Arabidopsis thaliana: one gene and its partners. The protein of the gene in region 1 binds, or shares a complex with, the protein of each later gene. Each region holds a gene or a part of one and is shown in the gene's direction. Other genes may lie near its edges. The genes, in order: CPSF73-I, CPSF160 and CPSF100.

Region 1 (10,076 bases):
TGTTTGTTCTTTCTTTGTATGACAAAAGTACAAAAGAATGGGGGATGTGAATTACTAAACTAAGCTGAACCAAAAAAACAAAACCTCAAAAGAAAGAACTAAAAGATACTCTATTTGTGTCCATATTATACGTGTAACATGTTCCATTGTGTGAGACCACTAACTATAAGTGTGGAGCAAACCCAAAGTGTGGCAGAAGCTGTACAGTGAGAGGAGAACGAAGATGTCGCCTGTTTTTTTCCCTCCGTTCTATGGCAATTTGCACGACTCGATAACTTCCATAACCACTTTATGTGTTTCTGGAGGAATCATGTCCAGTGTTGTATGAAACGCCTAACACAGTAAGAACAAGTACATGGTCGCATCAAAAGGTTTCAGTGCGCATACCACATCGACTACTAAGACTGAAATATGAAGGGTTTAGAGGAACGTACCACAAATCTATCCAACACGGGTACCAGAATTGCCATGTCGCGTTTTGGGAGATAATCTCTGATGGCATTTCGTATACTTCTACTGCTAAGAATAAGAGATTATGTTACAACTTTTTGAGAATTAGAATACTTAAAAAGGTAGTAAGGAAGATATAGATAAATAACCTTTCTGTGGATAGAAATGCAAGTAGAAGGGCAGAATATGCCTCCACGATCATCTTTTCCGCTTCCTTTTCGCTTTCTAAAACAGCTTCTTCATCGTCCTGAAACATGAGGAAGGAGCAGGTTTTAAGACATACTTTCTACTAAGGGCTATTTAAATTCGACAAGAAAACAATGATTAGATACCAACCAAAGTGAAAGTACTCGTTTCATCTTTGGTGTCTGCGGATCCTTTATTGGTGAGAAAGATTGAACATAAAAGAGGGATCATGTCTTGTTCACTATCTTGTAACCCTTCTGGATTGGTAATCGGAACACTAGCTGCCGCGAGCCTTGACCTGGACCAAATAATAACTGATTAGCGAATATTTTTCAAGACATGGGTACGAGTCAGATCATAATATTATGAAATCACGAGTTCCCCCCATTTGCATAAAAGACAATCAGTGACTATGTTTTCCTGAGTTGACATAAAGATGTAAATCGAAAAGAGCAGTTTGGTACCTGTTTATTCCGTTTTTCTCCACCAAGTTTACCAGTAGCCCCAGGATGGCAACAAGAAAATCTAATTCCTGGTCTGTGAGATGTTTATCTTTCTGGTGGCATGTCCCGGACTCCATCTGACTGTAAAGCGGAGATCTGGTGAAGGAAGGAAAGTGTCCAACAACTAATTCAGCCATGCTCTCCAGTCCTCCGCAGGCAGCAACTTCCCGACAACCAACAGAATTACCATTTGTTAGGTTCATTAATACCTGAAAATATGTTCAACAGAATCAGAACGTAGCAAAAGATCACATGATATCCTCACATATCTAAACAGATTAGCATAAAAGGTGACATTCCATTCTGGTCCAAACATATTTTCATTCCAGCTGCAGAAATTTGTTACATAACAGAAAAGTAATTGTTAAAAAGACTGTACATTACCTTCACGGCTGTTAAAAGGCAATCAGATAAAAGACAGAGACATCCTTTATCAATGTCATATGTTAAAGAAGGTTGCTCTGTTACATGGTGATCTCTATCACTTGATTCCTCCTGAGAATTTAAACCATGGTTTGATTCCTCCTGGCTCGAGAAGAGCTGAAGCGAGCGTTCATCTTTCTTATCTCTGTAGCTTCCCTTCCTCTTTTGACCTTTAGATTTCTTTTGCTTTCCTACTGCCCATCTGGAAGGTCCTGAATCTTCTAAATCAAATGAAAAAGGATCTTGACTATCCTCGAAGGATGCAAAGTTTTCAACTTTTTTACAACTGGATTCTCTAGTTTGGCTAGTCCTTGTTTTACTTCTGGAAATGCCACTACCCAATGAGGCTAATCTGCCTGCAAACGACCCAGTGTTGGAACCAGCTGTAGTCGTCAGCGTGCAGTGATCAATTGTCGACATTACACTTGATTGAGACCCCGGCTTTGGTGTCGTTGAGCAACCTACCAGGAATGCAGACTGATTTCTCTTGGATACGCTCAAACTTTTTATGGAGCTAAAGCCAGTGGTAGAGCAAGTATCTGAACTAATAATTGTCACAAAGCCCTTCTTAACAGCAGAAGCTAGATGTGGCTGAGGGTGAGGATGCTTTTCGTTCCTGTGAGCACGTAACTGAAGACCTGGTGTAATCATTCCAACCAGCCATCAGCATAAGAGATGATAACATACGAAGCAAGTCATGGTGGTAAAATCCAAATATAGGAATGGGTACCTGAAAGTATTTTGATGACACTTATCATGAGCTCTGTGAAAGACAGTCGGGATTCATGAGAACCCATGCTTTTATTAAGTCTGAGCAAATGAATCTGAAAGATATATTATGTACAGTTATTTTTTAGGTGCAAACTGCAGAGCTATTCAATACAAGCTATCATGAGGCTGGGAATCCAAAATAAATAAAAGTTACCTGGTTTTCTGTGCTGAGGAATGTAGCATTCTCCATGATTTTTAGACATTTCAGAAGTAACATCAGACTCTGCTTATTCAAGTCATCTTTTATATCCTCGACAGAGAGTGTGTCATGAGTCACCCAGCTCTGCAAACAAAATATGCAATAGAGACTCTTATTAAATACAGTTGCAAAGGTCCAGTAACTATTGACAACTTAAGTACAGAGTCTTTGCCACCACTAAGACAGACATCCAACTTGTCCACAACAAACGCAGTCACAATAACATTAAACTGTGTTACACAAACAAGAGAATTCTCTTGCCCAAGGACAAGAAAAGAACCTTGACTTGCAACGATTTTCAGCAATAAATTAGATTGAAATAAAACATGAACCTGAAGATAGCAAACAATTATAAAGCTACCAATCTACGACACTTTACACAAGTTATTGACGTCCTAGCCAAATAAAGACATATATAGCAAGATCCCTATAACATACAGGTTCACACCTCCATTACAGTGTGGCAATCCATAACAACATCAAAGACAGCATCAAGTCCTCCAAGTTCTCTCAGTTTCTCCTTGAACATTCCTCCAGATTTTTTCACAGTACCAGAGGTATCTGGATGGGGAATGATAATATCAATAATTAGAAATTTATAAATCAATTATAATCTGGTCGTAGGATTCTATTACCGCTGACACATTTGTTAAACTGATTCACTGAAGCAGATAACATAACTTTCCAATTCTATAACTCAATATAATATACCAGATGCGTCTTAAATAGTTAGCTAGTCATTGTTCCAGCAAAACAGACAGGAAGTTAAAGTACCATCAAAAGAGATTTTGGACAAGCACGCCTTCTCCATCACCAACAAAGCTACCCATTTCGTACTTAGCTCAGGCCTCATCCTCTCGATTTTATAGCTATCAATCAATCTCAACTCCTTGCAATTAACAAGAATTTCCTGAGCTCTGTCAATTATATCACAGGAGCTTAAATCATGCATACTGGCTGCATCACGTGCTGCATCAACATCCTTGATTATTGATAAGAGCCTAGATCCTATATTCCGCGGCTTTACTTTAGTACTGGCAGAAACCACAGGTCTCAACAGCTTAACCAAAAACTTGATGGAGTTGGGTGACTCCATAAAGTGATCATCTTGACCCTAGAATCATGAACATAAAACTAGTAAACAAGAGAAAAATGCCAATGGAGCAAGAGAAAAGAGCATCACAAGCAGATTTCACAATGCAAATAAGTTACTTACATCAGTAGTTAGCACAAAGAAAAGGGTAGCTGCAGCAAGATTGCTTGGTATGTCATCAAGGCAAAGACCCAAAATCGCATCAATTATGGACTGTGAGATCCTGAAATAACAAAATTCAGAAACTTTTAAAAGAACTCGACTTCAAACAAACCCTAGAAAGTCTAGAAAGGAAGATACTGAAAATCTTAAGTAAATAAACATACCCTAAAGCTCTCAAAGAGCGTCGCTGATACTGAGATTCACAAATCGAGAGTAGAGAGGACAAAGCAGCTCTTCTGATCCTAACTTTATGTCCTTTCTTCAACCCATCAAGAGCGAAGTTAACTTCGTCCTCATTCTCAATTAACTCGCCGAACTCTTGAGCCTCCATCAAAGTCGAATTCGAACCAAACCCTCCACCACCGTTTCTGGGTCTCTTGTTCCTCTTCTCAGAAAAATCATTATCCGAAAAAGTGGATCTTGAAGAATAATTCCAGACACAAGATGATTCTTGAGTTGAGAAATCAACTGGCTCGAGTTCTGGAGATGAAGAAGACGGAAAAATATGTTCCGCCCGCGAGACGTCGTCGTTTAACATCCCCGGCTTGCGACGGCCGTAAGTTCGCTCCATCATCGCCGAGAAAGCTTCGAATTTTCTCTTCGTTCGCAGATTTGAGTGACAAAATAAGACAAGGGTATTTTCGGTATATAATATGACTTTCTATATAAATATAATATTTTCAATTGCTATGTATTGACCGCATAGCGCAGTGGATTAGCGCGTCTGACTTCGGATCAGAAGGTCGTGGGTTCGACTCCCACTGTGGTCGTTTTTTTTTTTTTAAAGGCTTTTAGGGTTTGAAGATATACACTAACTGAAATTGCTGTACTCAGTTCTTTGAGTTTCTTCTTCTCTTGGAGGAAAATCGAGAAAGACGAAACATGGCTTCTTCTTCTACTTCTCTGAAAAGAAGAGAGCAACCAATTTCGCGAGATGGAGATCAACTTATCGTTACTCCGTTAGGAGCCGGAAGTGAAGTGGGTCGTTCCTGTGTTTACATGTCCTTCCGAGGCAAAAATATTCTGGTCAGCTTCTCCGTTTTGTTCTAATCAAGCAAATGTGTTTTGATTTTGTTGTTGGGGCATGTCTTATAGTTGATTTTGGTTGTGTTGTGCAGTTTGATTGTGGGATTCATCCTGCGTACTCGGGCATGGCTGCGTTGCCTTACTTCGATGAGATTGATCCTTCTTCCATTGATGTCCTCTTGATTACTCAGTATGTTTCCTTCTTCTTCCTCTTTTGGCTAATACCCATTAAGAAAAATTGAAACTTTGAAGAGAAAATGATAGTCTTGATTTGAATAGAATGATAATTTGAGCAAAATCTTCGAAGTTTAAGTTTGTTTATACAAAAACAGAAGGATGATGTGTAGTAGAGAGACCTTCTTGGATTAATTAGTTCAAGCTTGTAGGAGGCTAGAGTTTGTTCTGTCTCTGTTTGTCTACTTGAAAGAGTTTGTGTTTTGTGTAAGAGGTTTATTGGGTTAAGATAACATATAATGTGTTGATGCTTTTGGTTGCAGCTTTCATATAGATCATGCAGCATCTCTACCTTATTTTCTGGAGAAGGTTTGTTTCTCTTTTCAAAATGATTTTGTTTTTTGGGATGTGTTAAAACATAGCTGAGAACTAATTCAGGTTATTGATGTTTTGATCAGACGACATTCAATGGGCGGGTTTTCATGACACATGCAACAAAGGCCATCTACAAGCTGTTGCTTACAGATTATGTAAAAGTGAGCAAAGTGTCTGTGGAAGATATGTTGTTCGATGAACAAGACATCAACAAGTCTATGGACAAAATTGAGGTTAGTACTGCATTATATTCTATGACTATGTTTATACTTTGACTGCTCCACTAGGTTTGGGATAAGTTCAAAAGAAATTAAATCTGCTTCAAAACTGTGATTGTTGAGTTAAGGTTTATATTTGATTTCCTCTATAGGTAATTGACTTCCATCAAACAGTTGAAGTGAATGGCATAAAGTTCTGGTGTTACACGGCAGGCCATGTTTTGGGTGCAGCCATGTTTATGGTGGATATAGCTGGTGTCCGAATCCTCTATACAGGCGACTATTCCCGTGAGGAAGACCGACATCTGAGAGCAGCTGAGCTTCCTCAATTCTCCCCTGACATATGCATCATTGAATCCACTTCTGGTGTCCAGCTTCATCAATCTCGTCATATTCGTGAGAAACGCTTCACTGATGTAATCCATTCAACGGTTGCTCAGGGTGGACGTGTGCTGATCCCGGCTTTTGCACTGGGCCGTGCTCAGGAACTTCTCTTGATTCTTGATGAATACTGGGCGAACCACCCAGATCTACACAATATCCCAATCTACTATGCATCACCACTCGCCAAAAAGTGTATGGCGGTTTACCAAACCTACATATTATCTATGAACGACAGAATCCGCAACCAGTTTGCAAATTCTAATCCGTTTGTGTTCAAGCACATTTCTCCATTAAACAGCATCGATGATTTTAATGATGTCGGTCCATCTGTGGTAATGGCTACTCCTGGAGGTCTTCAAAGCGGTCTCTCAAGGCAACTCTTTGACAGCTGGTGTTCAGATAAGAAGAATGCTTGTATCATACCAGGTTATATGGTGGAAGGTACACTGGCCAAGACGATAATTAATGAACCAAAGGAGGTGACTCTTATGAATGGTCTTACTGCTCCGCTCAACATGCAAGTGCACTATATATCGTTCTCTGCTCATGCAGATTACGCGCAGACGAGCACGTTCTTGAAAGAGCTCATGCCTCCTAACATCATCCTTGTTCACGGTGAAGCTAACGAGATGATGAGGCTCAAACAGAAGCTCTTAACAGAGTTTCCTGATGGAAACACAAAGATCATGACCCCGAAGAACTGTGAGTCAGTGGAAATGTATTTTAATTCTGAGAAATTGGCGAAAACCATTGGGAGATTGGCGGAAAAGACACCTGATGTTGGCGATACAGTAAGCGGGATTCTGGTGAAGAAAGGGTTCACTTATCAGATAATGGCACCTGACGAACTCCATGTTTTCTCACAGCTATCAACAGCAACTGTAACTCAGCGAATTACAATCCCGTTTGTAGGAGCTTTTGGTGTGATAAAACATCGCCTGGAGAAGATTTTCGAGAGCGTGGAATTTTCAACAGATGAGGAATCGGGGCTTCCAGCACTGAAAGTTCATGAAAGAGTAACGGTGAAACAAGAGTCAGAGAAGCACATCTCACTTCAGTGGTCATCAGATCCAATAAGTGACATGGTTTCAGACTCCATTGTAGCTCTGATTCTCAACATCAGCCGAGAAGTCCCCAAGATCGTTATGGAAGAAGAAGATGCTGTGAAATCCGAGGAAGAGAACGGGAAGAAAGTTGAGAAAGTGATATACGCACTTCTTGTTTCGCTTTTCGGGGATGTGAAACTAGGAGAAAACGGGAAACTGGTGATTAGGGTCGATGGCAATGTCGCTCAGCTGGATAAAGAGAGTGGAGAGGTAGAGAGTGAGCATTCAGGTCTTAAGGAAAGAGTGAGAGTAGCTTTTGAGCGGATTCAGAGCGCTGTGAAACCAATCCCTCTCTCAGCTTCTTAGTAGCTTTTTAAAGTCATCGTTGAGGTATCTTAAATCATCATAGAGTTTTATCCATCTGATGATGTTTCTGTTCCCATGTTTAGTAATAGTGAATGATCAAGTCTAATGGATGTTATTTAAGAAGGTGTTTATTGAGAAACTTTGCTACTACCCTACTGTGATAATGATCAAGTCTTATGGATGTTATCAACTATGAGTTTTTAACTTTTTTAGGTTTTTTCATAAATCATTTTGCTGATTCGTGCTTTTCCCATATGCATTTTTCTATCATTATGCTGATCTAGGATATGGAAGCAAAAGCTTTGTGGTGCATCAAGTTAAGAGGTTTCTAAAGTTAAAAAAGTACTAGGCTTCTTCCAGATTCTTTGTAAGACATATTAGTGAGCCTTGCTTTTGATATTTGCAGTTTCATGAATACACGGTGTCGTTTGATGCGTTTCTACCAAGCCTCTAAAGTACAAGGCAGGTCTGATTGAGCTAAAGTAAGGTAGAAGAGAGATTGTAATGAGCACATTTTCTATTATTTTTCCACGTACAAAGTATACATTATTCACATCAGTGAATGTCTCTTGACCTCTATGTTTTGGCAAGATGTCTAGTGCATCAAGATATTAAGACCAAATCTCTACAATATTAAAATGCTTAATTTTTTTTTTTGTAGATTAAAGTTTCTTTTTTAATTTTATTTATAAAAGCTTCTACGTTCTACCGTATCCAAATATGCATCAATATCTGCAGAGACTGCAGTTTCATATAGGCGGGAAAAGCAAATGCAAAAAACAAATCGAACCTGACCCAACTAAAATCAAAGGCTCTCTTTTTTTTTTTTCATTTCTTTCCAAATTGTCATTTTCAGTTTCTTCGAATCCAGACACAACAAATCCGAACCTGACCAAAACTGAAAACTATGTCAGCCTACGAGTACCCGAGGCTCTCTCGTTCCGACATTATCACGGCGCTCAAGGATGCTCAAATCGCTAGCGTTACAGAGACCGATCTCAAAACCCCAACTTCCGACTTTGTCTCCGAGCTTTACACCAGAATTCTTATCTATCTCGACGCCCTCGACGAGTATGTACTCCTCAAAACCCTAGTTCCTCTCTTAGCTCTTCACTCAATTTTACCCTCGATTTTGAAACTCTTCGTCTAGTTTCGAGCTAGGTCATCGAATTCTGTCAGAAATTATGTTAAATATTGAATCTTTGGGATTTTCTATTTTTGATTGTATGAACTGCTAAGTAATTTTGAAAACCCTATTTTTTGTTTCAATTTGGGGGAATTTCTGATGATGCTTCTTTTTTGAATTGCGTTTTTCGACATTGTAGAGAAGAGAAAGGGCAAGTTGATTTTGAGGCTTTGGAGCAATTGGAGAATCCAGATCATCATGCCACTTCAATGCAAGCTATGAAGCTTTATTGCAAAGTGAAAGATATGTTAGAAATGCTTGATTGTCCATTACCAATTAGTTTCAAGGATCTCTTACGCCCTGAATCATCCCGAACCGAGTTTTTCATCAGCGCACTTTTGAACTATGGTCTATACAAGTATGTCCTTCATGCTCTTAGTTCTTCTCTGTAGTATCTATTTCGATGCACCAAGAAGTTAAAATAGAGAGTTCTTATTTGTCCCACTTGATCTTCTTTAATCTTTTTTTCGTACCAGAGACTCGAAAATGGATCTTATAAGACCAAAGGCAGAAGAGTTGGGTCTCCTTGATGAGCAGCGAAAGCAGTGTGAGGCAAAGGTTGCTCAGGTAATGCAAGAAAAATATGTATCCCATAGATAAGTCATTTATCTTTTTCTAAAAGCTGTACATGCAGTTGAATGCAGAGATTGGAGAATTTGATGAAGCCGTTGAGAGGGACTTACCTTTTGTCCAAGAGCTAGAAGCGAACATTGAACAACTGAATAAAAAAATATTGGAACTAAATAATCAGCAGATGTCACTGCGAGCTACCTTCCAGAAAATGAGAGAGAAGAGTACACAGATGGATAACGAGGTACGTAACCGCAGGATATGGTGTCGAGCTCCTTCCTCAAACTAAATTGGGTTATTTGTAATTTATTATGAAGTTGGTGAAGAAACAAATTTTGTTTGTCAATTAGGTGATTTGCATATGCTTGAACTTGAGAGGCGTTTTCTGCTCCTGACATGTGTATTTCTCTCTACAGATTTCCAAAGCAGAGTTTGATCTTGTGGAAACTGTCCAAGAAAATGCAAACCTCCGCTCACAAATTGTTCAATCACCGGACAAATTGCAGGTATATTTTTATTCCAACTAGTACTAGTCCTAAGATAAACTTTTGGTATACACTAGTATAAACGTTTGTTGTGGAGACAGGGAGCTTTAGAAGAGAAGAAACTAGTACTTGGGGAAACAAAGAAAGCTGAACAATCAGCAATGGTAACTTTCCAGGAAAAGGCTGCCATTCTTGAGGTTTTTGAAAAGGTATCTAATGAAAACTCTAGATTGTTACTAAATCCTGTCGCTTAGCAAGTAGCTAAATGCATTTACGACATTTGCAACTTAATGGTCACTGCGGATACTGCTCTCAAACCAGTTTTTAGAGAAGGATATTTCAAGTCATTATTCTTCTAAGTTTGGTGTGTTTATTGCTCTATCACTTTTGTTCATACTTCATGAAATTCTGTCCAGAAGCTTTAGGAAGAACTTCTTTTATTTTGTTGTATAGTGGATG
Region 2 (9,114 bases), on another chromosome or scaffold:
AGTTACATTGTACGTAAAAAAAGAGAGACCTACAAGTGTGTGTATTGTGTAATGAATATACTTTAGAAATCCTTAAATCAACTAATCCGTGGTATGAATAAATGATCTTGTACGTATATATAAATATATCTTTTGCTCCTAGATCAAGATGATGGTGAACTTTGTCTGCCTTCAAAATCTCTCCTAATAATCTCCAGAACCATCTCGTTCCATGTGTCCACTGGCCCTGGCATGCACCAATGCAAACAGTCTTGTGGAGGAGGCTGACCGTCTGGTCCACGTTTTGTGATCTTTTTCGGGTCAGGACTCCTGTATGGACCAGGATGACCGTCGTGGCGATACCCGAAAGCCTCAGTGATATCCATTAGCTTCAGCTTCTTCGATCTATTCCCGAGCTTATCATCCGCGACAGCACGGTGAAACCCTGTTGCTTGCTTCTCGTGCATTATCTCTGTGAACCCGTTTGTAACTAAATTCCCAGGAGGAAGCGGCTCTACTTTACCTGTGCATGATCCACCAGTGTTCCACGCACCGCCTTCATAATGATCAGGCGACCAAGTACGTAAGATGGTCAGACCCGTGTAGTTTGGGTGTTTAGCCATTGCCTTTATGATTGTTTCTACAGAGATCCCAAATGCTTCGACGTTGTTAATCTTTTCGGGTTTTGATTTGTCTGGCCACCATAACTGGCCTCCCACAATCTGGTCATTTAAAATATAGACAGACTGTTTTGCAAACCAGTGACCTGATGAAAGTACAACCACATCGAAATTCGGAAGAGCTTCAATTATGCGCTCATCGGGTTGGTCAAGCTTGAGTTTAGTTACACCATCTGTAGCAAAACCAAACGGTTCATTGAACTGATGGACCAGCCAAGATGACCACATCCGAGCTATCATCACCGATGATGACCTGAAATACCATCTCTGCATCTTCCTGTTCCCACGGTTAACCGGAGTTTCTACCTGAAAACAACAACATCATTCAAAAGTTTAATCATACAGACAAAACAAACTCTTGGAAAAAGAAAGAAGCTCTATATAGTGACACAAAGTATAAGAAAACACTTGCCTGCCAAAGAAGACACATCATGGACTCCATCTGATTACGAGCTACTGAATCGCCTATAAAAGCTAGTGTCTTGCCTCTCATTAGCTCAAGAAATTTCTTAGCATCAAAACGCGGAAGATCACACTGAGACGGTTTCCATCTCCAGTTTTCATACCCCTTGTCAGGTCTTCCATTGCCCTGACAGTTTTGCATCTGTGTCAAAAGAGGACAAGAGTTGTTTGTATACAACGGTCCCATCGGATCATAAAACCAGTTACCATGATATAAATCACATTCTGCAAAATGGTCAAAGCAAATCAGAAAAGCTTCAGTAAGAAAAGTGATAAACACAATTTCAAAAAAATCCTGAGAGAAGACATGAAGGAGACATAATTGTCAAAAGGTAGTTATATTTTACCAAATCAGATAACTATTAGTATAAAGGAGGTACCTAACTATATAGTCCAAAGGTCATTAAGATTCCAGATTAAGGACTTAAGAGTTAAATGCATCATTAATTAGTAGCATTGGTTTTTTGTCTCAGTGATCCTTCAAGAGTAATTAAGTCAAATCATCATTAAATAGCTACTTAACTTACTCCACATAAATTTGCACACTAATCTACAACAATTAGAGAAACTTAAGCAATCACTTAACAGTACCTGTTTCTACATGATCTTGTGTAGCTTCTTCATCAATGGAAACATTTGAAGACTTCCCTGAGTTTGTTTCTTCACCTAATCTAACATCATTCGAATCATGAGATCCCTTGGGAAGCACTTTATCATCACTATCTTGTGTCAATACTGGTGGTGACTCTGAGCTAGAAACAGGAGATGGGTTACGATCAGGATCATGGATACTATGGTGAAACTGGACGTTTTGAGTGGTCTCTGTTCTGTAGAAATAGTCAGTAACAGAGGAACCAATGGGATACGTGAAAAGAAGCAGAGAAGCGAAGATGACGAAAGAAGTTAATCCACCAATAGCAAATGCAATTGAAGAAACTTTTCGAGGAAACAACAACACAGTCGTCTTTGAATTTGAAACTCGTGGAGAAGCCAAAGTCATGATTTTTCTGCACAAAACCTATAAAAAAAAACAGAGCAATCATTCATTGATGGATTACATATCTAACTGGGTTCCGCTAAATCACAATAAAGTTTCGATTTTTACAATTTGTTTACTAATCTCTATTAGGTGAAAAAAGGAATCAATAAGAGAAAAACTTACATTTAGAATTGAAAACGAGACAAGGACGATCGAAGAAGCTTTTGCTTTGGAGAGGAATAAATAAATCGACAAGATCTGGGAGTTTGAGAGAGAAGCGTGGAAGGAAGAACAATGTTATGAATTGTTAAAGTCAAACTTATTTTAGTCAAAAAAAAAAAAAACTAAACAATTTAGGAGTTTTTTATTTTTCTTCTTTTGAAGTTATTTTTGATTTGGTTATTGTGTATGATATTATAATTCATATAATTATTACGGTTATATTTCATAATTAGTTTAATCGTGTATGTTCAACTTTTTTAATTGAACTAGATTATTAGTTAAACTAAATCGAATTACGATTGGTTAGACTGTTAGATTTTTATTAAATCAAATTTAACTTGAAAATAAATCAAAATCTTCACTCTTCATTTTGATTAAACTAAACAAAAAATAAACTAAACAATTTAGGAGTTTTTTCTTTTTTCTTTTTTGAAGTTTTTTATTGATTTGGTCATTTTGCATGATATTATAATTATTACGGTTATATTTCATAATTAGTTTAATCGTGTATGTCCAACTTTTTTAATTGAACTAGATTATTAGTTAAACTAAACCGAACTACATTTGGTTAGACTATTAGATTTTTATTATATCAAACTTAACTTGAAAATAAATCAAAATCCTCACTCTCGATTAACAATAAACGTTTTCCCTTTCTTCCCCTTCTTGCGCTTGTTCTTTTCAAGCTTCTTCTCCTTCATCAACTTTTCAATAAACTCATCGTTCTTTTTCTCAAACTCTCTCAGAAGTTTCTTAAGTTGCTGCTTGTCGTTTGCCAGTTTCCTTAAATCTGCAGTAGTTAGTTTGATTTTACTTCCAAACTTGATTCACAGAGAAATAAGCTTCCTTATGTCATTCTCCACGTCATCCTCCTCCTCCTCTTTCTTCTTGTCCTTCTTCTTCTCCTTGAGATCCCAGATAATGCCAACTTCTTCTTCAAGGATTTTTGTATCAAAGTAGTCATTTTCGTTACCAGGTGCAGAAACAGTCCACTTGGAGTAGTTGATAAGGTCACGTTCAAGGTTAAAGTGATGAATGGCATATGTGTATGCAACAGACACAGATCCATCCTTTTCCCATGAGACATGAGCCTCTTCTTTCTCCTTCTCCACAAGAACCTTTTCAACTCCCTCTTCTTTCCCTTGAGCTTCAAGTCCCTCTTTCCTCTCCTGAACCACACGTTGAACTCCTTTGGCCACTAAAGGATGCCAAAAATCCTCGAAAAGGAATCGAGGCTTTGGAGCCTAAGAGAGTATCTCTTTGTGAATAGTTTTAACAAGCACAGTGTAAAAATTTTCTTCCTTGACATTTTTTCTTCTGGTAATGAGAAATAAGATAAAAATTTGGAGAAAAAGAGGATGAAGCAGAAGAAGAAGTATGTAAAAAGAGTAGTTATAGGTGGTTAAACTTAAAGCTATCATTGTTGTCGTCTTGTATGGGGGAGGAACACTCAAAATCGTTTCACAGAGACTTGCAGGAGGTTTCTTATTTTATGAGGACAAGAGGTGAGAAGTAGAGGAAGCCCAAAGTTGGTTATTTTCCTTTTCAAGATTTTTCAACAATTAATAAGAAATATTATATGAACGTATCTTTAAATCAATTAATTATTAGCATTTGTTTTCATAAACCTTATAAGGCATCCCCTTGTTCTCCAAAACAATTACTGTCATCCTCTTTCTAAGTGAAAATTATATTTTTTTTTATCGTCTCTAAGTTGTTTAAGGGGTTAAAATACTAATTACAAAAACACAATCTAAAACATAAATAATAAATACGTTTATCTCTTACATATTTTTGCTGAGATTTTTTTATTAGAAGTATAAAGATTTTTGGGGAAATTTGATACTAAGGATCTTTTTTAGAACTAAAAAGGAAAACAAAAATATTTTACAAAATGATATATTTCGATATATAAAGTTTTAATGCAGTAATGAAACTCAAAATGATTGATAACACTTTCTAATACTTTTATGTTGCAAAAACAAAATCATGGTGCAAAATCCACTACTTTTATGTTGTAGTATATTTCTAGAAGAAATTTGGTTTCATGGTATATATTGGGTATTAAATAAAGATTGGACTATCTTCCCTTTGGCTTTGGTGTGTCATAGATAGTGATAAGAAATACCTCTTTTTTTGGGCATTATTTGTTGACAAACGATATAGAAAATTATAAACAAAATAAAGATCATTGGAAAAACATCATTTGACCAAAGATGTGTATATGTGTCCCAATCAGAAAGTTCATAACAAGTTCCTCTCTTCTCTTCTCAATTCTTATGCATCCACATCATCATTGATTTAATGCTTTTAAAAACAGAACATTACATTTATTTTTTTAAAAATGTATTACTTTTTGGACAATACAAGTTTGATACATATAACGGATTTCGCAAAATATTTCATGTTCTTTTTGCAAACAAATAATCCCCAAAAAAAACTAAAGGAAAAGAAATTCGTAAAGACCAAACTCGTAATAAAGAGTATATACTGTTTCCCCTTAAAAAAAAAAACCAACCTAAAATTAAAACCCGTGGGTTTAAGGATTTGATCTTTTAATGTTCACAAAATCGAGACCCTAAATTGCTCTCACACTCACTTCCCAATCTTCTTAGTTCAATTTCAATTTTTAGAATTAGAATCTCTGAATCCCAGATTCCGGTAGAGAAGATGAGTTTCGCGGCCTATAAGATGATGCATTGGCCTACCGGCGTCGAGAACTGTGCTTCCGGCTATATCACCCACTCTCTCTCCGATTCAACGCTACAGATTCCGATTGTTTCCGTTCATGATGATATTGAAGCTGAGTGGCCTAATCCTAAACGAGGTATTGGTCCTTTGCCCAACGTCGTTATAACCGCCGCAAATATCCTTGAGGTGTACATCGTTAGGGCTCAAGAGGAAGGGAATACTCAGGAGCTGAGGAATCCGAAGCTTGCTAAGCGTGGTGGAGTTATGGATGGTGTCTATGGTGTTTCTCTCGAGCTCGTGTGCCATTATAGGTACGTGTTTGTTGACAATTACCTCCTAAATTACTCCAATTTTGGTACTTTGACTTTGAAGTGACGATGTGATTGGTATTGGATTGTAGGTTGCACGGTAATGTTGAGTCAATTGCGGTTCTTCCTATGGGAGGTGGTAATTCTTCTAAGGGAAGAGATTCGATTATATTGACATTTCGCGACGCCAAAATTTCAGTTCTTGAGTTTGATGATTCAATTCACAGCCTTAGGATGACGTAAGAGTGTTTTGCTTTTGTTGGTTTTGGTAAATAAATAAATGAATTCAGCTTTAGTTTCAGCTCTGTCTCCTCTCAATTGTTTCTTTTGACCTATATACGAGATGTTCTGTGTCCAACTATTGTTTTAACTGTTTTATACTTCTCAAAGTTTTGGTCTTTACTTACGCATTGTTATTGTTTCTAGCGATGCAAGTTACGTAGTATTGGATCATATACTGAAGCGTTCTATTGTCTATGTCTGATTGTTTCTTCTAGTTATCTAATTTATGTACCATTGACTCCTATACATGACTTCAACAAATAATAATGGATATGTGGTTCCTTTTCAGTTCGATGCATTGTTTTGAGGGTCCAGATTGGCTTCATCTGAAAAGAGGAAGAGAGTCTTTTCCAAGAGGCCCTTTGGTAAAAGTGGATCCTCAAGGCAGATGTGGCGGCGTTCTTGTTTATGGTTTGCAGATGATCATACTCAAGACTTCCCAGGTTTTTGTTTTGGCATTATTAATCAACTTCATCTTAACTGTCGCTTTATCTGCTACAAATTTCCAACCTTCATTCTTTTCTTTTATGAACTTTATTTTGGGTTTTAGGTTGGTTCTGGACTAGTTGGAGATGATGATGCGTTCAGTTCTGGAGGGACAGTTTCTGCTCGAGTTGAATCATCTTACATAATTAACTTGCGTGATCTGGAAATGAAACACGTCAAAGATTTTGTTTTTCTACATGGTAGGTTTAGCAAGCAAGGTTTCTTCATAAACTTATCTCTGAATCAGTAGTTAATCATAAATATATTATGATGATTGTTTCTTAGCTGCTCAACTTGCATCGAATCTTGTGTCCTTGAATGGATCTAGCTTACTAAGTTGTTGTTTGTAGATTCAATACGACAACTGATGTATTCTGGTCATGATTACAGTTTGAAACAAGAGGAAATGTATTGTTTCTTTGATTTTTCAATAACTAGCTGTCTGAAATTTTAGATATTCTAGTTTTCCCAGTAGGCATAAAGAATAAACTAAGTGGTGCTTCTTTTGATTATGTGTTTTTGCATCCTGTGTCTTCTTCAGGTTATATTGAGCCTGTAATTGTCATCCTTCAGGAAGAAGAGCATACTTGGGCTGGGCGAGTTTCATGGAAGCACCATACTTGCGTGCTTTCTGCCCTTAGTATCAATTCGACATTAAAACAACACCCAGTCATCTGGTCAGCTATTGTATGTTCGTATTTTCCTCTTTGTATCTTATAATAGATCTCTTCCCAAGAAATTAAATATTTGAGTTGCACTATTAACTATATTGTAAGCTAAGGGTAGAAATTGAAGTCATCTAAAAGGTTATTGAATATCCACTGTTGTTACATGACTAGACTTTCCAATCAGCTATGACGATGCTCTATTTTTTGTTTAGAATGCTCAAAGAGTTGATCTTTCTTTAGGAAAAATTTCCTAAAATAACAAGCTATTTCATGACTGAAATAGTTACTTCGGCAAACGTTAGTCCCTGATCATACTTATTCCCATTCTTTTGGTATTTTCCAGAATCTGCCCCATGATGCCTACAAACTACTTGCAGTACCATCTCCGATCGGAGGTGTTCTTGTGTTGTGTGCAAATACAATCCATTATCATAGTCAGGTAGTTTTATATTACTTAGCTTTTGGTTGTTTCTTGTTTAAAATTCAACAATTCCAGCCACTCCACCTCAAAGTTCTACAGTTACTCACACATCTGGATACCATATATATTTGTAGTCAGCCTCCTGTGCTCTGGCACTGAACAATTATGCCTCCTCAGCTGATAGCAGGTACAGTTTTCTCGCACCTCCCCACTCTTCAAAACCTGCTTCATGCTTATGGATATAATCTTGTTACCTCAGTCTTAGTTTAGAATCCTAAAGCTTAGAATCAACTTTCAACATTTGTAAAACTCTGTTTATACTGTTAACCACATTTCTATCTCTGTGTGCGTCTGATTTCTTTCAGTCAAGAACTGCCTGCATCAAATTTCAGTGTGGAGCTTGATGCTGCCCATGGAACCTGGATATCGAACGATGTGGCCCTATTGTCGACAAAATCTGGGGAATTGTTGCTGCTGACTCTTATATATGATGGGCGGTAGTATTTTGATCTTCTTTAAAAAAAAATCTTCTGACGCTTGTAAAGCTGGCTGCAACTTATTTTGTTTAAAATATGTGAAACTGACTGCTACTTTCTTTTTTGAAGTGCTGTACAGAGACTTGATCTTTCCAAATCAAAAGCCTCTGTGCTTGCTTCGGTTAGTCAATATGTTCTTTCAGCATATTTGTACTTCAATTTGGATCCTGTTCGATTAGAGATTCCCTATGATGATATACCAAATTTCTTGCAGGACATTACTAGTGTTGGAAATTCCCTTTTCTTTTTAGGTAGCCGGTTGGGAGACAGTTTACTGGTGCAATTTTCCTGTAGATCTGGGCCTGCAGCATCATTACCTGGCTTGAGAGATGAGGTGATAGTTTAATCTTTCTTAGGCTGGTCAGAGTAACTTCTTTTTAAAATTGTTAATCCAGAACTTGAAAATTTCCTAAATTTATGCAGGATGAAGACATTGAAGGTGAGGGTCATCAAGCAAAACGTTTGAGGATGACTTCTGATACTTTCCAAGATACAATTGGAAATGAGGAGCTTTCATTGTTTGGTTCAACTCCAAATAACTCTGATTCAGCACAGGTAACAAGTTCTGTCTTGGTTAGAGTTTCGTAGAATTTTCTGTTGAGGTTCAATCTTGGAAAAATTAGATGGCTCTACTATATGAATTGGGGTTCCGTTGCAGAACATTCTCCATCTTCCTATCTATGTGTGCTTTCAATTGCAAACATTCAGTCTAAAAAAATTAATGTTGAACGGAAAATGACTTCATTAGTTTAACTACCGAAGAAAGACTTTTCCTTTGTGCAACATGTATTGTATCAATAAGAGTTAGGTAGCTTATGTTCTCCTTTCCATGAAGTTTCTCATATTTTCTTTTCCAATAAATGCAGAAATCGTTTTCATTTGCAGTGAGAGATTCACTAGTTAATGTTGGCCCAGTGAAAGATTTTGCGTATGGCTTAAGGATTAATGCTGATGCAAACGCCACTGGGGTTTCCAAACAGAGCAACTATGAATTGGTGAGCCGTTTGGGTAGAAGTTCTTATATTATACTAGCCATGGAACTGTTTTATACAAAATATAACTTGCTTAGGGTTGTTATTTAGTAATGTCTAGTTTTGAAGTATTCTTTTACGTAACAATGAAATCCTTTGTTCCACAACTTTATTTGTTGACATGCTTGCCTCATATTTGTCTAAAAACTGTAGCCCCCAAACTAAAAATCTGAATTTTGGCGTTTAGGTGTGCTGTTCTGGTCATGGGAAGAATGGTGCTTTATGTGTTCTTCGGCAGTCAATTAGACCGGAAATGATTACTGAGGTATGCGTATATCTCAAATTGTGTCTGGTATATGAGAAGATTGGGAATCGTCCATTTGTTGATCTTTTAGTTTAAAACCCTTACTCCCATTACTATGGCATGGA
Region 3 (12,232 bases), on another chromosome or scaffold:
GAAACCGGTTTAAGAAAGAAAAAAAAAAGTTGGTTTGAGAGGGGGAACAAGCAAGTTTATTTACCCCGTTGCCAAATTGTGAATCTCCCGCAAATGAAGCTCCGTCGCAATACCTTAGCCTGACTTTGTTCCAGTTGTAAAAATCTGTTTACAAAATAATATATGTTACTAAGACTTGTTTTTTTATGTTACTAAAACTTTATATTAAACGAAAATTAGAATAATTATTCAGTTGTGAGAAAAAAAAGAAAAGAATAATTATTCAGTACAAGTCCTATAAAGCATTATTGATTATTGTGAGTGATGTTCTAATAAAGTCACAGCAAAATTTGACTCAAGACAGACTCAAGACAGACTCAAAACTGGACTTCACAAGTTCACATGTCCAGTTATAAATGACAGTTGTGCCCTCATGAAAATAATACAATAGCTCGAGGAAGGTAGGATAAATGAGTAATTTGATGTGGCTTAAGGTAGAACGATAGCGTGTGCTCGTTAGGAAGGGGACAAGGACAACAAAGAAAGAAGCAAAGCCACATCATAGAAAGAGATAGAGCCAAAAATATTATTTCTAACGATTAGTTTATTTTATTGAAAAAAGCTGAATTTTAACAGAAACATTTGAACTATCATCACGTGAAAGAGAGACCACAACCACAAGCAAACATGTTCGATTTCGATTAATAAATTATTATTGGATAATGTTGCCATTTTACTCATAATGCATGGGTTTATATTAAAATAAAATGAAATTAAGAATGACCTGGATTTTGAGAGGCGTTATTGCTCAAGACTCCAGTGAAGACGACGGTCTTGCTCATATAACGTGTCGAGCCTCGACGGGTCTTGGCTCTTTCCACACATGATGCTATATCATTGCACCATCCTCCTCCCTATAACCATTTTTTACTTGTAGTAAAGATTCAAATAATCTTGATAGTTCTCTATATAGACAAATGAGTGGTCGATTGAATAAACATAAATGTGTTTCTGTTTCGTAGAAAAGAACTATAGAGAGAATGTTATAAATGCGTGTCATAAAGTGAGAGGCGTGAGACACGATCCAACTAGCTCGAGAGTCGAGACATGATAATGCTCTAAAGTTCTTAAAACGGCGCCGTAATTAGTAGTTTTCGGGTATTTAAGTGTGTACATAACTAGAAAACAAGTATTACCAATCTACCAGCTGTCACATTTTAAAATTTTAATCACTTGATTTCAAATCGTTATCAAGATTTATTTTAAGAATTTGACTAATAATTTGTAGATGACTAATACACATAAAATATTTATATCTTCCCTAGGATAGCTGGATTCAATTATTTGCGTACTCATGGAGTTGGTTACAACACCAAATACTTTAACTAGGCAGTGACCAATAAGAAAAAGAAAAAAAACTAACTCACTAAGCAAATGGTTGGCTGATTGATTTTCTTGGTAGCAAATGATTAATCCCAACCATTTTTAAGAATAACAATCGTTTTGTGTTTTAATCATTTTCGAATTAATTACAGATTTAATTCTATGACGTATATAAAAAAAAGTTAATTAGAGAGTTAGAGTAAATGTAAAATTTAATTACCTCAAACTGCAAAATCCAATTGTTTGATCCAGCACCAAACCCTCTGTCTAAATGATACGCCGGTAAGCTTCCGTCCAAGCAAACTACACAAAATGTAATTCCAAATGTATATCAAAAGAAAGTGTGACATATATATATATATATATATATAATTATATATATGTAAAATCTTATTTTTCAACGTGAGAAAACGATAGCTAATAAAGAGTGGTTTATGTTAGATGATGTTGCGTGACATGAGGTTAAAACAGTGAAACTCACCGCAAAAATAATAAATCAATATCAATCTAACTGAATTATTCAGTCTCATTTATCAAGAAAATGTTTTATCAGAAAAAAGTATGTCAAGAAAATAATATAATTCTATGAACCAAGAAAAAAAAGGAGTGTGAGACATACAAGCACCGAGAGCAGCGGCGTCTCGAACCAGTGTCATGCTAACACGCCGCCCTGGTTCGCCGGAAACAAGCGGAGGAGAGAAAGACACGTAGACAACTAGAACCATAGCCGCTGTTAGATCGAGGAGCCGAGTCGTCGTCTTCATTGTTACAGTTTTGGACGCTTCAATGGTGAAAGAAGGAGACTGGGAATGAAAACGGCGTCGTTGAGTTCTATGCCTGTTGTATCAAAGGAAAATAATTGATTTGGGGATTTAAGAGGGAAATGGAAAGGTTTATAGTATTTATAGATAATAAAGATTTTGTGGAAAGTAATTCATTTGGAGAAGAAAGGGAAAGGAGAGGTCAAGTTGGCAAAGAGGTAAGAGAAAGAGAGAGATTTATGATATTGATAGGCACAAAGAAGTTTTTGCCATCTTACAATTTGTTTTCCTTTCTATGAAAAAGATTGATTGTTGTTACCAATTGTTAGAAATCTCTTATCATCTTTAAAAAAAAAACTCATATCATATCTATGCATAAATATGTATGTATAATTCACCACATGGAGAGACTCACTTATTTTTCATGTGTATGTGTGTAAAGAGAGACATATCTGACCCAAAAAAATAATCTTTGATTTGTTATTGTTTACATTAATTTATTTATTAGAAATATAAAGTCCACATGATATTTTCTTCCTTAAGAACTTTAGCTTTAAAAATAGATGAAATTTTTCTGTTGAGCTAAAAGATTCATTTCCCTCTATACATTCAGATTTCTATTTTCGTTTAGTAAATATTTCCTTGTAATTCTACTGTGGTCCACCATTGTAAATTCATTGTTTATGTTTTTGTAAGAATTTTCAATCTGTAAATGTATTGAAATCCAATTTCTGTATTGGTATTAAAAACAAATTTCAGTGACAGCCACAGGCTCACAAAAACAGTTCTACACTACTACTTATCAGTTTCACACGAGAGCTAAGTTTAGTTATGTGCAGTAGACAGCATAGGGCGTAGATAAGGCCAAAAAACAAAAAACAAATGATTAAAAAAAAGTTTTTTTTTTTGCAAGAATAACCATATTTTGATACTTTCTTTTTATTTATTTATAAAAAATGTATTGTATTTTTAGATATTTTTCTAAGTATGGAGATGGGTCTTGATGGGTGGGTCACCAGCTGATGAATTAGAATCGAAAATCACATTCTTAGGTGTCTTTTGGTTTAGGTTCACCGAATCTTCTTAATCTATCTTTAAAGAACCAAAAAAAAACACACACAAACAATTGTCTTCAATCTCTCTGGTCATTTTTCTTATGAAAACAAGTATAATAATTACATTTATTTACACTCTTTAACTAATCAACCTATTATTACCTAACTACAACTTTCATATTCATATCAAGAAAGAAAGGTTTGATAGTTAGTTATGGTTGTTATCCTTAGCCATTATGATTTTGGTTTGGTCCTCACGGGTCCTCCTTCACCAAATGCATATGTTTTTTTTTTTTTTTTTTTTTTTTTTGTGTTGCCTTTGAAGTGAAGCTATCACAATTTTGAATCAAAATGTTGTTTGGCTTTCTAACGTGCATCAATAAAATCAGGAAGAACTTATCATTCGTCACAATCAACATACCAGCTACTTGTTTCTTATTGTCCATCATATTCCTAACAAATGATATATATAGTTCATCTCGAACTATTGAATTATTAAGTATTACGCAACACACCTATGTCAAATGATCTGAACTTCGATACTATATCAGAATTCAAATACGTTTAATTCAAAATTAACTGAAAGTGAATTCATTCATTAATATCTCTTATTTCATAGAAGAGATTTCCAACATTTTTTTACCATTGTAGTGATCTTTTAGTTGCAACATTTACTAATTAGTGATAAGAGAGCACACATGTGGGAGAATTAGGCACGTGTGAAGAGCTAAAGAGAAGCATGAGAAGAATAAAAGAGTATAAATAGGGATATTAGAGAGGAATTATAGAGATTATCCTGCGTGATCATTGATGTTGTGAGGAGAATTAGGGCTTGTGTGCTATGTTCTTGATGATAAGAGATGAGCATTGTAACTCCGATCTTATCAATATAGGGTTTTGATTCATTGTAATTGGGATTTACGGATAATAAATACAAAGGTTTATGCGTAAGTTCTTATCAACTTGTAATGGTCTTCTGGTTGCACCATATGCTCATAGATCTAGTGTATTTGGTACAACTGCTTAAAAGTTTTTGATTTACTCTAGTATATTTAACGGAGATTTGCCTATTTTTCCTTAAGGGTGTGTTTAATGTTTTCATGTTGAAACAATGAATGAAGTTTCATGTAATTTTAAATGAATGAGCAATCATAATGAAACCGATCTACTTTGAAGTTTGAACATACAATAGAATTGACTCATATGCTTATAATGGACTCACCATCTATGTTTCACTGCTACCACAACATTTTTTGGTAAAAGATTCACTAATCCCTCTTTGTGTTGGTTAAAAAATCAAGGTAAAGAGAGAAAAAATTTCAAAGATTATATGTACCAAATGAACAATTTGAAAAGAAAAGGGTTATTTTAGAAGTAAAAGGAAATATATGGACCGGGGAGGTTATTATTACAGAATTAAAAAACCCTCTTTCACGGTGGCTTCTTCTTCTTTAGTTCATCGGAGAAATTTTAGGGTTTATATCGGCGAACGGAAAAGATGGGTACTTCGGTGCAAGTGACTCCTCTCTGCGGAGTTTACAACGAGAATCCTCTCTCCTACTTAGTCTCCATTGATGGTTTCAACTTCCTCATCGACTGTGGTTGGAACGATCTCTTCGACACATCGCTCCTCGAACCTCTCTCCAGGTTTCTCTATCCTTATTATCTACATTTCCAGAATTCACCAATCTAATTTGTTTTGAATTCGATTCTTCTGGTTTACAGGGTTGCTTCTACTATAGATGCAGTTTTGCTTTCTCATCCAGATACACTTCACATTGGTGCTCTTCCTTATGCTATGAAGCAGCTTGGACTCTCCGCTCCTGTTTATGCTACTGAGCCTGTTCATAGATTAGGTCTCCTTACAATGTATGATCAGTTTTTGTCCAGGAAGGTGAGATTTTGTTAACTACTGGAGTGGTTATTTTTGCGCAATTGTCTGCATTGTAACACGATGATCTTACTGTTGCAGCAAGTATCCGACTTTGATCTGTTTACACTGGATGACATAGATTCTGCTTTCCAGAATGTGATCAGATTGACTTACTCTCAAAATTACCATCTTTCTGGTATGTGGTTTTAGTGATTTCTAGGCTCTATAGCAAACTAGAAACAATTGACACTTATCTCAAGCAAGTTTGATCTGCATTATCTATGATCTCATATCGGGAAGGAGTTCTTTGACACACATTGAGTATTTGGTTGTTGAAACCTAAGTTATGACTTCAAAGATTGTTAGGATGTCTCAAGGTTTTATCGTTGCCCTATCAGGAAAGGGAGAGGGTATTGTAATTGCTCCTCATGTTGCTGGACACATGCTGGGAGGTAGCATCTGGAGGATAACAAAGGATGGGGAGGATGTTATATATGCTGTTGACTACAATCATCGGAAAGAAAGGTACATATGTTCAGATTTTATCTTATTTGAAGTTCGAGTAATGTTCATAACAGTAAGTAAAGATGTGGACTCGTGATACTGAATTGTATATCTTAATTCAGGCATTTGAATGGAACTGTTTTACAGTCTTTTGTTCGGCCTGCTGTTCTGATAACCGATGCATATCATGCTCTTTATACCAATCAAACCGCAAGACAGCAAAGGGACAAAGAATTTCTAGGTTAGCTTGTAGCCCAATATGTGTTGTGTATCTTCTATAGTATTTAAAACAGCCCGCTTCTAACTGCCAGAAACATGTGTGCATGTCCCCATTTATCATTCAGATACCATTTCAAAACATCTTGAAGTTGGAGGAAATGTTCTATTGCCAGTAGACACTGCGGGTCGTGTCCTGGAACTTCTCTTGATACTTGAACAGGTAATAGAACCGCTTTGAATGTATCATGCTCTTAGTTAATGTTCAGCTGTTTTTTAAAGACTGGATATTGATCAAACCTGCAGCATTGGTCACAAAGAGGTTTCAGCTTTCCCATTTATTTTCTCACGTACGTGTCATCTAGCACAATTGACTATGTTAAGAGTTTCCTCGAGTGGATGAGTGACTCCATTTCAAAGTCCTTTGAGACTTCACGTGATAATGCCTTTCTATTGAGGTAGATTTTCTTATAAGAATGCCTTATTTGTGCCGTCGTTTGTTTAGAATACAGAAGACATCACATGAAATTTAAACACATGCAGGCATGTCACTCTGTTGATAAACAAGACTGATCTGGATAATGCTCCACCTGGTCCAAAGGTTGTTTATAAAATTATAAGTAACTCATTAGTGTTTGTTAGTACATAGAACGTGGTGGATTTATTATTATTTCCTGTCTTTTCAGCTGATAATAGAACTAGATTTTTTCCTATTATATGTTGTAGTGACTAAATCTCATAATATAGGTTGTTCTTGCTTCCATGGCTAGTCTCGAAGCCGGTTTTGCTCGAGAGATATTCGTGGAGTGGGCAAATGATCCCAGAAATTTAGTCCTCTTTACTGAAACAGGCCAGGTATGTTTTTAGAACCCACATACGTTGAGGAACGAAAATTTATTAGCATTGCTATAAAGACCTGATGGTAGATTCTTTTCCTAGTGCTGATCAGCTAGTTAAGTGGATATATGAGAATCTTTTTTGTCTTCTGATCTGAATAAGAGTTCCCCCATTTATGTGTGGATATTTACCCCCAATATGTACACAATAGGCAGAGATTGAGTACCTTAAAGCAGCATTATAATTACCACCAAAGCCTGGCTTGCTCCTTTAGGATAATCTCCAGAGCTTTCAGTCTTGAATTTATCAATTAGTTACATCCAGTACAAAATAAAGGGTCTTAGTAGACTATCATATTAATGGAATTGACACCACTATGCACAAACTGTCTAATTGGCCATATCATTCATCTCAAATGAACATAATTTTTTTTTGTAACCGCGTACTTTGTTTATTTTTCTTCTAGCGAGACATCATCCTGTTCCCTGAAATATCATACTTTTAATTAAAATTCAATCTAGACAAAAATAAATTTATTCAAATAAATAGTTTGGAAACAAATGGAAGCTTTGGTTAATTATTCACGCTTTTCTCAGTTCTGTGTGACTATGCTTTCTTGTCCATGTCAATCTATCCAGAAAACAGAGCATTACGGAATTATTAAGTTTGAAATACCAGTAACACCGTAAATCCAAGTGAAATTATCGAAGTTCTTCATCCAATTTGTTACCTTTGCCATTGGTCGTGTTCCTTAGTTGCGATGGCGATTATACTTTCCATGTGTCCATTCATAGTTCACGTGATCTAAGATTTGCAAGATGTTTCGGTTTGTAGTCAATCACATAAAACTAAACTGCTGTTAGTTTGATTTTTAATTGTCATTTGCTTCTATTTGCAGTTTGGCACTTTAGCTCGTATGCTTCAGTCAGCCCCACCTCCAAAATTTGTTAAAGTCACCATGTCTAAGAGGGTTCCTTTGGCTGGGGAAGAGTTAATTGCATATGAGGAAGAGCAAAACAGACTGAAAAGGGAAGAAGCTTTGCGAGCTAGCCTCGTTAAAGAGGAGGAAACAAAAGCTTCCCATGGATCCGATGATAATTCAAGTGAACCTATGATCATAGATACCAAGACTACTCACGATGGTAAATTTTTTCTTATTTTATATAACATTTTATTACCCTTGAATATTCTGTGGCCTGTAACTTCTTATTTTTCATGTAAACTTTAACTTAATTGAAGTATCTAGTACTGAAAATGGCTATGCACATAGTACCCTCTGTAATGTACTGGTTAGTTGGTTTTAGGAGGCATTTATGTGGTTATCTTGAGTGACCTAGAAGCTACATTTAGAAGTCTCACAATACATTTCTGGGTAATTTGTTTAGTTTTTCACAGTCCCACAATATGTGTCTGTTTCAATTAGACCTCTGGCTACCGTTGTTGATTGCTCTTCTTTCCACTACATAGTGGTCTGCAACTGACCTTTTACATTTCTGACTACTCTTGCAGTTATTGGTTCTCACGGGCCTGCATATAAAGATATATTGATTGATGGATTTGTTCCCCCATCCAGCAGCGTAGCTCCAATGTTCCCATATTATGATAACACATCTGAATGGGACGACTTTGGGGAGATTATTAATCCAGATGACTATGTGATCAAGGATGAAGACATGGACCGAGGAGCAATGCATGTACGTTCCTTGAATTCTGGTCTTGGTCTTGGTCTTTCTTAGCTCTTGTTATATTTGCAAATTAGACCTCTTAATTTCCATGATGTTTGCATAGTGGTGGTTCCTTTTACGATTTTTGTATCAAGAAGAACAAAGATGTAAGAAATCTGCATGATATGCTCTGAGGATTTGGGATACAGATAGGAAATCTTTTGCCATAAAGTTGCTTAGGCTCTTGATTTGGTATGAGTGCAGTTCTTCAAATGAGTGCACTGGTTCTACAGTTCCATCTTTATATTTTCCTTAACAACTGATTGCTTACTAGTAAAGGTTTAGGGTCATTCTATGTAGAGTCTTGTGTTGCTTATTAAATTTGTGATATAATTTTCCATTTCAGAACGGAGGTGATGTGGACGGAAGGCTTGATGAGGCAACTGCTAGTCTCATGCTTGATACAAGACCTTCGAAAGTCATGTCCAATGAGCTCATTGTAAGTAGACTCTAATTATATCCAAAGAACAATACATTGATAGAGATTTTGTCTCAGTTAATGTCCTCATTTGTTCTCCCTTTCTAGAATCTCTGATTATTGTTATAGACTGCTTATCAATGATAGGCACAAGGAGTAGTCTTCTCACTTAGAAATAGAGAGATAGGAATTCTCATTGACATGGCGTTGTGCCTGTCAAATTTATCTTCATCTGATGATATGCATACAAGAAATTTATTAATTGATCTTCTAATTAGTTATCACGGGAGACCTTGCTAATCAGATCTTTAGCACGATAATTCAACTTACAGATATTTTGTTGTTTGGATTAATCGGTCTAATTTTCTTCTTGTTATTGAACAACTTTTGTGTTCTTACTTTTACCCACTTGATCTTATGTCATGTAGAAGTTTCAGAAGGTTATTCTCAGAACGTAGGCCTTGCCTGCTAAACAAAACAATATGGCTCTTTAGTCTTCTTCTGTCTATACCTAACTGCTGTCTAATTTCCCTGATAAATGATTTAGTTTGTTCTTATGCTTTTGCACAGGTGACTGTTAGTTGTTCACTTGTTAAAATGGACTATGAAGGTCGGTCAGATGGCCGCTCAATCAAGTCAATGATTGCGCATGTTTCTCCTTTAAAACTTGTACGTTTCTCTCTCGTCTTATATATATATAGTGTTAAGCACTGAACTGGAAACTTGCGGTGATCTAATACTATATATCATGTGAAGGTTTTGGTGCACGCGATAGCTGAGGCTACAGAGCATTTGAAGCAACACTGCTTGAACAACATCTGTCCACACGTGTATGCTCCTCAAATAGAGGAAACGGTCGATGTGACTTCTGATTTATGTGCTTACAAGGTAGAAATTACTTAGAATTAGGAAGATCCTTTTTAACTCATGGGTTTTGAGTTGTGTGATTGAATTAACCCTGTATGGTGATACATCAGGTCCAACTTTCTGAAAAGCTGATGAGCAATGTGATCTTCAAGAAGGTACCTTTTATTTCCGTGACTATTTTTTTCTTCTTTTCCGATTTGCAACCAATGTCTCTGAAGAATGATGAAATAATATCAGCTGGGAGATTCAGAAGTAGCTTGGGTGGATTCCGAAGTAGGGAAGACAGAGAGGGACATGAGGTCTCTACTACCGATGCCAGGTGCTGCTTCGCCACACAAACCTGTTCTAGTAGGTGATCTGAAAATCGCAGACTTCAAGCAGTTTCTGTCGAGCAAGGGTGTTCAGGTAGAATTTGCAGGTGGAGGAGCTTTACGTTGTGGTGAATATGTCACTCTACGAAAGGTTGGACCGACGGGTCAAAAGGTAATTCAAAGCAAATACTGCATTTCTTACAACAAATCAGAGAATGACTTATATATGTTGGGGATTGTTCAGGGAGGAGCATCGGGTCCACAGCAAATTCTGATAGAAGGACCGTTGTGTGAAGACTATTACAAAATCAGGGATTATCTCTATTCTCAGTTCTACCTCCTCTGAGCATGATATAGAAAAAAAATGAAGCTTCTTCTCATTTTCTCAACATTTTTCAACCACTCAACATGTAATCTCGTATAGTTTATTGCCTTGCTTATAACCCTCAAATCTTATAGATTAATGTGTTAAAAATGGCAATAGCTTTTTGTAACTTTTTTGTACTTGTCATCTTAGTAGAAGCTTAAGTTGTCATTGGATATATTCCACTCCTATTTCGGTAAAGCGGTAAACTAAAACAGTAAAACGTGATAAACTCTCTTCTTTGTTCCTTGTATGTTCTCTCAAAAGTTTAAAATGAAAGCGAAAACACTTTCCATTCAAGAGCTTTCAACACCTGGTCTTGGCTTCGTGCTGACGTGGCATCTAGCTTTTTTTTTTCACTTGTGAATTAAACCAACCATATGTGTTAAACATGGAAAGATAAATAAAAGCAATTAGGTGGTTAGGTGTGTTAGTGTGAGGCTGATCACTGTCCAACGCTCTCCCTTTGTGCAATATTCTGTAACGAAACCAACCAAAAACACAGAATACATTTGATACAATTACTTTAATTCCAATTAAACCCTAATCCTCCTCTACCATTCTTCTACTGACGATTCTCTTCATATTTTCTTATCCTCTCTTACTCTCTCTACAATCAAACCATGGCTTCTGCGACCGCCACGTGGACACCTACCTCCCTCCAGCTTCGTCTCGCTTTGAGCTCCGGCGTGCGTCGGAAATCTCCCGCCGTTTACTTACGACCATCGCGATTGGCTAGGAAATCGGGTTATGGAATTGTCTGTGTTTCGCAGAAGCCTGAAGTTGATGCGTGGACCGGATCGGATTCGTCAAAGTCGTCGGCTGATAATTTGGCTGGGTGGGATGATTCCGATAACGATGACAAGAAGTCTTCCAGAGTTAAGAAGAAGAGTTTGATTGAAGGTATATGCGGATGAACATCTGTTTTTGGATTCTGATTTTATTTTTCAGTGTGATTCGGAGTTTTCGAGGTTTCGTAAGAACCAGCTGGTGAAATGTTTGATTACACAATGAAGCTAAAACTATATGGCTGCATAGTTTACAAGTGTAATTTGGTAGGAGCCATGAGTGTTGTTTTCTTATGGATGTACTACACATAATCTTTAGATTGAGTTGATGAACCGTATACGCCGATTTGTTTTTGTGGTCAATTGTTATTGAGAGGTTCGCTAAACAGCGCACATACTCAAATGGTACATTGCATGTTACGTTGGAGTTTGGTTAAGTCTCTTTAGCATTTTGATTTCTCTGTTCTGAAGCTGTTTAGTTTACCGGTTTTCTTGTGGACTAATAACAATCTGGAACTAGTTTGCTTTCAGGTGTAGTTGGGGCTGGAGTGGCTGGAATCATTTTGTTTCTTGGGCTAAGCTATGCAGCAGCATCTTTTAGCAAGCGTAATACTCCTTCTCTTAAAGCTATTCAAGCTCGTTTCAAGTGCCTCTTTCAGAATTGTTTGTACTGATTTATTGTAGGGGAATCATCTTTTGAGCGCAGGAACAAAAAAACAGGAAATGCATTCGTTGACTTCTCAGCAGGAAAGCATGATTCAATCATCTGATGAAATTTCTAGTGATGAGATTAAGGTAGCTAACAGTGAGGAAAGCAATCTTAAGGACGAGGATAAGAGTATAGAAAGCAATGATGTAGCTCAGAAAAGTGATGAAGGGTCTGGCGAAGATAAACTACTTGGTAAGGAGACATCGTCATTTGATGGTGTCATGACTGATGAAGCGGATGCCACTGAAAGTATCCCCCAAAATACTCCTGAAGCAGATTTGATGGTCAATGCGGAAACTGATCCTGAGACAGCAGAAAGTGAGAAAATAATATCTGAATCTAAGTCTCTGTTAGACTCATCCACTGAGCCTATTCTTCTAGATGCAGAAAGTAGTAATCTTGTGGGCGTGGAAAATACAAATTCTGAAGATCCAGAGAGTCTC

What was found.
Region 2: CPSF73-I (region 1) and CPSF160 share a complex: the UniProt entries of both Arabidopsis thaliana proteins name them as parts of the CPSF complex.
Region 3: CPSF73-I (region 1) and CPSF100 share a complex: the UniProt entries of both Arabidopsis thaliana proteins name them as parts of the CPSF complex.

What each region holds. Positions count from the first base shown.
Region 1 is NC_003070.9:22,472,254-22,482,329, reverse strand, and holds CPSF73-I (cleavage and polyadenylation specificity factor 73-I), read left to right. Parts: upstream 1-4,564; 5' UTR 4,565-4,669; coding exon 4,670-4,813; intron 4,814-4,905; coding exon 4,906-5,003; intron 5,004-5,310; coding exon 5,311-5,356; intron 5,357-5,445; coding exon 5,446-5,595; intron 5,596-5,732; coding exon 5,733-7,376; 3' UTR 7,377-7,400; exon of another isoform or gene 7,401-7,660; 3' UTR 7,661-7,700; exon of another isoform or gene 7,701-7,782; 3' UTR 7,783-8,063; downstream 8,064-10,076. Other genes in the region: AT1G61030 (WAPL (Wings apart-like protein regulation of heterochromatin) protein), read right to left, coding at 250-333, 435-516, 600-697, 787-934, 1,101-1,348, 1,524-2,200, 2,293-2,386, 2,488-2,616 and 4 more; AT1G61000 (kinetochore protein), read left to right, coding at 8,284-8,447, 8,702-8,920, 9,039-9,129, 9,197-9,376, 9,549-9,638, 9,719-9,826. UniProt on the Arabidopsis thaliana protein: Component of the cleavage and polyadenylation specificity factor (CPSF) complex that play a key role in pre-mRNA 3'-end formation, recognizing the AAUAAA signal sequence and interacting with poly(A) polymerase and other factors to bring about cleavage and poly(A) addition.
Region 2 is NC_003076.8:20,975,258-20,984,371, forward strand, and holds the start of CPSF160 (cleavage and polyadenylation specificity factor 160), read left to right. Parts: upstream 1-4,747; 5' UTR 4,748-4,992; coding exon 4,993-5,324; intron 5,325-5,413; coding exon 5,414-5,560; intron 5,561-5,892; coding exon 5,893-6,046; intron 6,047-6,153; coding exon 6,154-6,289; intron 6,290-6,630; coding exon 6,631-6,776; intron 6,777-7,100; coding exon 7,101-7,196; intron 7,197-7,312; coding exon 7,313-7,365; intron 7,366-7,543; coding exon 7,544-7,675; intron 7,676-7,783; coding exon 7,784-7,835; intron 7,836-7,928; coding exon 7,929-8,048; intron 8,049-8,137; coding exon 8,138-8,269; intron 8,270-8,580; coding exon 8,581-8,709; intron 8,710-8,932; coding exon 8,933-9,010; intron 9,011-9,114. Other genes in the region: YLS7 (trichome birefringence-like protein (DUF828)), read right to left, coding at 144-965, 1,072-1,346, 1,713-2,121; AT5G51650 (uncharacterized protein), read right to left, coding at 2,946-3,143, 3,186-3,566, 3,951-3,992. UniProt on the Arabidopsis thaliana protein: CPSF plays a key role in pre-mRNA 3'-end formation, recognizing the AAUAAA signal sequence and interacting with poly(A)polymerase and other factors to bring about cleavage and poly(A) addition.
Region 3 is NC_003076.8:8,047,874-8,060,105, forward strand, and holds CPSF100 (cleavage and polyadenylation specificity factor 100), read left to right. Parts: upstream 1-4,565; 5' UTR 4,566-4,676; coding exon 4,677-4,825; intron 4,826-4,903; coding exon 4,904-5,072; intron 5,073-5,150; coding exon 5,151-5,247; intron 5,248-5,449; coding exon 5,450-5,576; intron 5,577-5,677; coding exon 5,678-5,796; intron 5,797-5,899; coding exon 5,900-5,994; intron 5,995-6,077; coding exon 6,078-6,229; intron 6,230-6,314; coding exon 6,315-6,372; intron 6,373-6,518; coding exon 6,519-6,626; intron 6,627-7,506; coding exon 7,507-7,750; intron 7,751-8,117; coding exon 8,118-8,302; intron 8,303-8,678; coding exon 8,679-8,771; intron 8,772-9,320; coding exon 9,321-9,419; intron 9,420-9,506; coding exon 9,507-9,638; intron 9,639-9,727; coding exon 9,728-9,772; intron 9,773-9,854; coding exon 9,855-10,100; intron 10,101-10,172; coding exon 10,173-10,274; 3' UTR 10,275-10,592; downstream 10,593-12,232. Other genes in the region: AT5G23870 (Pectinacetylesterase family protein), read right to left, coding at 65-144, 764-893, 1,583-1,665, 1,982-2,126; AT5G23890 (GPI-anchored adhesin-like protein), read left to right, coding at 10,916-11,195, 11,612-11,686, 11,787-12,232. UniProt on the Arabidopsis thaliana protein: CPSF plays a key role in pre-mRNA 3'-end formation, recognizing the AAUAAA signal sequence and interacting with poly(A)polymerase and other factors to bring about cleavage and poly(A) addition. Required for antisense-RNA-mediated gene silencing.